Ovis aries: one gene and its partner. Each later gene encodes a partner of the first gene's protein in a complex. Links are inferred from orthologs where the notes say so. Each region holds a gene or a part of one and is shown on either strand. Other genes may lie near its edges.

Evidence for each region. Proteins that work in one complex are often made in the same cells at the same time.
Region 2: the proteins of RNASEH2B (region 1) and RNASEH2C are in contact, whole or in part, in a crystal structure (PDB 3PUF), measured with the Homo sapiens proteins. The link is inferred for Ovis aries from reciprocal best matches to the Homo sapiens genes RNASEH2B and RNASEH2C. Residues at the interface, in NP_078846.2 of Homo sapiens: Arg14, Gln15, His16, Val17, Phe18, Leu19, Val20, Ser21, Glu22, Leu24, Leu35, Met36, Phe37, Val38, Lys39, Leu52, Glu62, Lys64, Phe66, Glu68, His70, His71, Ser72, Trp73, Phe74, Ile75, Asn76, Gln77, Ser78, Val79; in NP_115569.2 of Homo sapiens: Ile9, His12, Arg13, Val14, His15, Leu16, Ser18, Ala27, Thr28, Leu29, His30, Leu31, Leu32, Pro33, Cys34, Glu35, Val36, Ala37, Val38, Asp39, Gly40, Pro41, Ala42, Pro43, Val44, Gly45, Phe48, Phe63, Val75, Pro77.

Annotation. Positions count from the first base shown.
Region 1 is NC_056063.1:20,677,168-20,681,362, forward strand, and holds the start of RNASEH2B (ribonuclease H2 subunit B), read left to right. Parts: upstream 1-1,383; 5' UTR 1,384-1,662; coding exon 1,663-1,726; intron 1,727-1,862; exon of another isoform or gene 1,863-2,192; intron 2,193-4,195. UniProt on the Homo sapiens protein: Non catalytic subunit of RNase H2, an endonuclease that specifically degrades the RNA of RNA:DNA hybrids. Participates in DNA replication, possibly by mediating the removal of lagging-strand Okazaki fragment RNA primers during DNA replication.
Region 2 is NC_056074.1:40,326,429-40,329,413, reverse strand, and holds RNASEH2C (ribonuclease H2 subunit C), read left to right. Parts: upstream 1-1,273; 5' UTR 1,274-1,315; coding exon 1,316-1,487; intron 1,488-1,678; coding exon 1,679-1,857; intron 1,858-1,943; coding exon 1,944-2,150; 3' UTR 2,151-2,342; coding exon of another isoform or gene 2,343-2,369; 3' UTR 2,370-2,458; downstream 2,459-2,985. Other genes in the region: histone acetyltransferase KAT5, read right to left, coding at 2,927-2,985.

The DNA.
Region 1 (4,195 bases):
TACTGTCCATTCTAAAGGATATCAGTCCTGGGTGTTCTTGGGAAGGACTGATGCTAAAGCTGAAACTCCAATACTTTGGCCACCTCATGCGAAGAGTTGACTCATTGGAAAAGACTCTGATGCTGGGAGGGATTGGGGGCAGGAGAAGAAGGGGAAGACAGAGGATGAGATGGCTGCATGGCATTACCGACGTGAGTTTGAGTGAACTCTGGGAGCTGGTGATGGACAGGGAGGCCTGGCATGCTGTGATTCATGGGGTCGAAAAGAGTCGGACATGGCTGAGCAGCTGAACTGAACTGGACTGTGAAAACAACCACATAAAAACACATATTCAAACAGCCAATGGCTGGGAATGTTCAGAGAAAGATGAAAATAGCTCTAGAGCAATACCTCTCTGCGGCCTGCCCCAGAGCTGGCCTCTGGGTGCCCCTCCTCTACCAGAAAGGCTTCCTCTCCGCCAGGTGCTTCGTGCAGTCACCTTCAGTTGCATTTGTCTGCCCTGGTGGGAAGTAGGATGGAAACAGAATCTTTTCAGAAGGTCGAGATGATCTAGTGCTGCAGCATTTACCTATCTTCAAGATTAAACAAAAACCGCTAAGTGCCTTAAGAGTTATGCATATTACTCTTTCATCTGTGCAAAATAAGAGTAAGACACAGGAACTTGTTTGTGAATGGAAAAATTCTGGAAGAACGGATAAGAGACTGATAACAGTAACTACCCTGGGGGAGGGGGATTGGGGGTCTGGGGTAGCAGGGTGTCAAACTTATTCTTAAGTAGGAGACACACACTTGGTACCTTTTCTAAAACCGTGTACAATTAAAATTTTATTTTTGAGAAGTTTAAATACGTAAATATCATGACTCTGACTTTGTAAACATCGCTTTTAAAAAGTCTTGACTTGTTACAAATCAACGTCTTCCAAAACAACAAATGTACATTTTGGGCCTCAAACTGTGCCCCTCTTTGGAGTAATGAGGACCAACCCCAATTTGAGGTCTGCTTTGCATGCATTTTGTCAAGAATCACAAAGCACACCAGATTCTGGCATTAATTCCAACGCAGAATGCAAGCGCTATCCAGAAACGTTGACGAGGAACAGCGGCATGAGGATTCGGGTGTGACGGACGGTTTTCGTCCTCAGGAGGAATTTGCGCCAGGCTTTGCGTCCGGCCAGGTGTGCGCGCGTCCGCCAGCCTACTGGGGCGGCGAGCGTCCAGCCTCCGGGTGCCCCACGGCCCGGGGACCCGGCCTCGCCGCGATCTCCCCGGGCCGCGCCCCGCCGCGCGCGCGGACGGCCGCTGGGAGCGCGGACCCGGAGCCTCCGGGCCCCGGCGACCCCGCCCCCGGGCCGCGTCACGGGGCGCCGCGGGTGAGCAGCTACCATTGGCCGAGCCGCGGAGGGGGGAGAGGCCGCGACCCTTCCCTGCCGGCGGGCGACGAGCCAGGGGGCCGGCAGCCTGGGCTCGGCGCTCAATTTAAACTCTGAAATCTGGGCCGCTGGCGGACTCCGGAAACGAGACGACGTTCGCCCGGCCGGCCGCGCGCCCCGGGCCCCGCCGCATTCCCGGAATCGACCCTTCTCCCGCCATTTGCCACCCGCGTCTCGCCGAGCCCGCGCTCCGAGAGCTGAGGCCCGCGGCCGCCGGGAGCGGACGAGTGGCATGGCGCGCGGCGCGGACGGCGGGGAGGGGGCTCGCGTTTGGCAGCACGTGTTCCTGCTCCCAGGTAACCACGCCGGGCCCGGGGCGGCGGCGCGCGGGCGCGGGCGCGGCCCCGGCTCCTGCCCTGGGCGGCCCTGCCCGAGAGCGCGCCGGGCGGGTTCTCGGCGACGGGGCGCGCCCCCTCCGGCCCGCGGTCCCTCGCGCGCGCGCGAACCCTGACTGTTTGCGAGTCAGCGCCGAGTCTAGGGGCTGCCAACCCCGGCCCTGCCCCCGCGGCCGCGCGTGGGGGACCCGAGTGTCACCCGGAACACGTGGTTCCTCCTCTTGGTCACAGTGCCCTCGGTTTCGCTTTTTTTTTTTAAACCTGAGCCGGAAGCGCAGAAGCAGACCGAGTGGATTTTCCCCGTTCGGGTTCTTTGTGGATCGGGTGGCCTGGAGGGAGCGGCGCAGGCTTGGGGAGGGCCGCGCGGGTTCAGGACCTGGGGGCCAGCGGCGAGGCCTGGAGGTGTCTGCTCTTGGGGTGTAATTTGGTATGTCCTAGTTGACAGTTGTCTTAGCGTCTGAGCCCTACTAGATCGGAACCTAGAATCCAATAGGTTCGCATTGACCTGAAGGCTGTGCTGTCTTAACACTTTCCCTCCACTGGGACATGCCTTGATTTGTGAGGCTGCATGGTGGTGGGGGTTAGGACAGGGGTGATTCGGAGAGATTCAGGCAGGTAGCTAAGGATTGGAGCCAGCCTTGTCAGCCTCCCCGGGATGGTGACCACATCCAGGCCTGCAGGGGCTAAAGATGATGGACGTCAGTTGCCACCTATGATGGCATGAAGTGGCAGAATAAATGGAGTTTGGGACCAGGGAGTGCAAGCCAGAAAGTTTTGGCCTTTTCATAGAAGGATACATTGATTTGATGGCGTAATTGAATATAGGAAAGCCCATTCTTCTCTGTATCTAATTTTGAGATGTAGCTCAGCAAATGCAGTATTTTTGCAGTAAATGATACTCTGATGACAGATGTAGTTGCCCAGTAATTTAGATTTTTATATGTGCTTAGTTGCTCAGTCGTGTCCGACTCTGTGATCCCTTGGACTATAGGCTCCTCTGTCCATGGGGTTTTTCAGGCAAGAATACTAGAGTGGGTAGTCATTTCCTTCTTCAGGGGATCTTCCTGACCCAGGGATAAAACCTGAATCTCTTACGTCTCCTACATTGGAGGCCGATTCTTTACCTTCTGAGCCATCAGGGAAGATTTTTATGATAGATATTGAAAGTTATTACAGGATAATCTGTCAAGGATATTTTGTGTGTGTTTAATTTTCCTCTTTGTAAAGAATTATACATATCGTTGTCCCTTTATAAAGAAATATAACATATATATTGTTGTTTAATCATTTGGTCATGACCAGTCCGACTCTTTGTGAACCCATGAACTGTAGCCCGCCAGGCTCCTCTGTCCATGGGATTTCCCAGATGAGAATACTGGAGTGGGTTGCCATTTCCTCTTCTAGGGGATCTTCCCGACCCAGGCCCAGATCATACCTGCCTCTCCTGCACTGGCAGGCAGATTCTTTACTGCTGAGCCACCTGGGAAACCCATGTACATATAGTAAAGTGTAAAAGTTTTAAGTGTGCAAGTCCATGAACTTTTCATATGTGTACACCCCTGTCACCATTCCACACATTAAGACCTAGAACTTATCCTGTGAGCTCCTCTTGCCTGTTCTAGATGGGCTCAGTAACCTCTATGCTGACCTCTGTCACCAGGTATTTGTTCTGCCTGTTTGGTCAAGCACGTGATTCTTAACCCCTTGCATCTTTTACTCAGCGTTACGTCTGTGAGGCTCATCTGTAGTCTGTAGCAGTGGTCAGGATTGTTGGTTCATTTGTGTTTTCCTTGCTGTGTCTATTTTATTGTATGCATAGTCATATTATTTTTTTCCACTACTGAGGGTGGATATTTGGATTATTTTTTCCTGATTGTAACTATTACGAGTTGCTGCTGCTGCTGCTAAGTCACTTCAGTCATGTCTGATTCTGTGCGACCCCATAGATGGCAGCCTACCAGGCTCCTCCGTCCCTGAGATTCTCCACGCAAGAACACTGGAGTGGGTTGCCATATCCTTCTCCAATGCATGAAAGTGAAAGTGAAGTCGCTCAGTCGTGTCCGACTCTTTTTGACTGCATGGACTGCAGCCCACCAGGCTCCTCCATCCATGGGATTTTCCAGGCAAGAGTACTGGAGTGGGTTGCCATTACCTTCTCCGTATTAGGAGTTACACTTCTACGAACACTTTTATGAGGCTTTAAGTAGCAGGATGTAATCATCTCTCTGTGGTGCAAACCCAGGAGTAGAATTGCTGGCCCTGGATATTGTGTTTAGCTTTGGTGGACACTGCTCAACAGTTTTCCAAAGTGGTTGTACCGATTTATTTGCCCAGCTGTGTGAGAGTTCCCGTTGCTCCACATCCTCACTGGAGATGTTTGTAGTTTGTGTAAGGCAAATTAATGCAAAATTCAGGGTTTTCATAGAGTCT
Region 2 (2,985 bases), on another chromosome or scaffold:
GTTGAATGGCATCACCAACTCAAGGGACATGAGTTTGAGCAAACTCCAGGAGATACTGAAGGACCGGGAAGCCTGGTATGCTGCAGTCCATGCAGTTGCAAAGAGTGGGACACGACTTAGCAACTGAAAAACAACAGGAAGGATTTCTAGGATTTGAACTTGTGTTTTAGGGAATTTGAGGGAGCGTTTAAGGAAGTGGGACTTTTCTTTGGATTGGATGCCTTCAGAGAGTGGGAGTATTTCTACGATGGGATATGTTAACAAACATTATCTATACGGAGGCTGACGCTATAATTGGTAAAGTAGCAACAGTCACTATATTATCCAAGATAGAAGAATTCTCATTATTTGTGTTTTGGACAATATTTGTGTTTTTGTCAGTGTTCAGGTGAGTATGAAATGATCTTCCTTTTGTTTTCATAACTCACATCACAGAGTGACCTCCTCAGATATTCTATGAAATTGTTCCTGTTCAACAGACCACCAAAGCCAGATCTTGGAAATCTAAGGATGTTTTTCTCTTTCTCAAATCTATAAATTAAACGCAATTTCAGTCTTAATAACCAGTTTTGTAGGAGTTCGTTTTATGAGAGTACTTGTCAAAATCTAAGTTGGGTATCCGGACACATTAACATTAGAGAAGTGTTAGTAGCTCAGTTGGTAAAGAATCTGCCTGCAATGCAGGAGGCTCGGGTTAGATCCCTGGGGCGGGAAGATCCCCTGCAGAAGGAAATGGCAACCCCCTCCAGTACTCTTGCTGGAGAATTCCATGGACAGAGGAGCCTGGCGGGCCACAGTCCTTGGTATCGCAGAGTCGGACACGACTGTGCGACTAACCTTAAGAAATGAACAAGGAAAGAGTACTGTGACTGAAAAGAAAAGGCAGATACATTGAATATGTGACTACAAAATAAATAAAAGTCTTCTCTGTAATAAAAATGACCAATATACAGGTTTGGAAGACAAACTAGGATAAAATATCTTCACATGTGAAGAAGGGCTGATATCCCTTCTTTGTGGTGTGTGTTACACCACAAACAAAGCACAACACTTTGTACTAATCAATGTTAAAAGTGTACTCTTAGATACCGTTTTAATTTTTTACAGTAAGAATGTATTTCGGGGGCGGAGGGTGGGCCGAGGAATTCAAGGAAAAAACCCTGGGACTGGAACGCCGGGAGGCAGGCTTGGAGAAGCGCCTCAGAGAAGAACTACGCTTCCCACGAGGCTCTGCGCCGACCGCCCCCGACAGGCTCCGCGCGCTTTGCGCGCCAGCTTTGGCCTCAGCCTGCGAGCTGCAGAGTAGTGACGGACTATGGAGAACAGCTACGAGGAGACCATCGACAAACGCCGCGTCCACCTGCGCCCTGATACACTGCGCGATCCCGCCCCCGCCTCGCTGCACCTTCTGCCCTGCGAGGTCCCGGTTAACCGGCCCACGCCGGTGGGGCGCTTCTTCACCCCAGCCATCCGCCTGGGTTCCGACGGTGAGCCCTCGCGGCCGGACTACGGCTCCCGGCGGCCCCCGCGCCAGCATCGCGCTCTCCTCCGCGAGGAACGCCGCCAGGCCTCCTGGGGATCGTGGTCCACCGGAGGCGGCGGGCGGACCGCCACCGGGCTTGCTCCCTTAGGCCTGGGTCAGACCCTCAGAGGCCCTCCCTGCTTCTGCCTCCTCCAGGACTGGAAGCGTCGTTTAGGGGCCGTAGTCTACGTGGCGAGGAGGTGGTGGTGCCGCCCGACTTCGTGGGATATGTGATGACAGAAGAGAAGGCAGAAGTGTTGGTGGTGAAGCAGGATGACCACGAGCGAGAAGAGCAGGAACTGGAGGAACCCCCCGAGGCGCTGGAGCGGGACTGCGTGAGCACTGGGGGATAGGGTTGGAAGGGAGCCCGGGTGGGAACCGCAGCCCGGATGCTGAGCCAGGGCCCCTTCCCGGCCCCCAGGACCGCTTTATGGGAGCCACAGCCAGCTTCAGCAGCTTCACCGTGTGGGGCCTGGAATCTATCCCTGGTCCGGATGCCAAACTGCGTGGGGCCCTAAGCTGGCCCAGCCTCGCTGCAGCGGTGAGTAGATGGATGGGCCCTCTCCCTCCCAGGCTTTATCTAACACCGAACCCACCCCCCCCCACCCCCGGCCCCACCCCAGCCTGAGTGAATTTGGGGCTGGGGCGAACAATGGGGCAGATGGAGACCCAGTCTGACTGGAGGATTAGACTGGGTAGGGACAGCATGGCTTCCCCAGCACTCTTCTCTGGCCTTCTAGAAGGGCTATGATTCTGAATATCTGGGCCACCCAGTCACTATACTGCAGAAATCCAATAGTAGAGGTGATTCCTGTTGCAGATTCACGCACAGGTACCCGAAGACTGAGAACCAGAGCTTGACATTGAAAGCCACCGAACCCCTCACCCCAGTGTGAAGCCAGAGTCCTTCACCCAATAAAGGAGCTTTTCACAGAACCTGTGAGTTTGCCAACACTGCCCCTTCTCCCACAGAACCTTCCATAGCTCTGACCTCTAGGAACAATTTATTGCCAGGGGGCAATGGGGCAGAAGAGGCCATAATTTTGCAACCAGTACCCACCACACCCCAGCTCCTACTTTACAAAAGAAATTTGTACAGCCGTCAGTCCTCTGTACAAGGCACCCCACCCACCCCTCTTACTATATACACAGCTGCCTGGCTCCCTCTGGTCCCTGGTTCACAGCAGGCCTGGGCCTGCAGCCAGCTGACCGTGGAGTTGCCATGAGCCCTGAGCTCGCCTTGGTGCTGGGCACCAGCTAGCCTTGACCAGGCCCGTCCTCTCCTTTTGGAGTGGTCCTCAGCCCTGTCTCCCTTGGTGTGCCTCTTGGAGACCCTGCTGGGGGCGAGATGGCTGCCAGCTTCAGTTCTGCTGCCTTTGCTGGCATTCCCCGGGCAGCGTCCGGTCACCACTTTCCCCTCTTGCTCCAGTCCTTGGGAGTGAAGTGCAGACACTTGGAGTCGA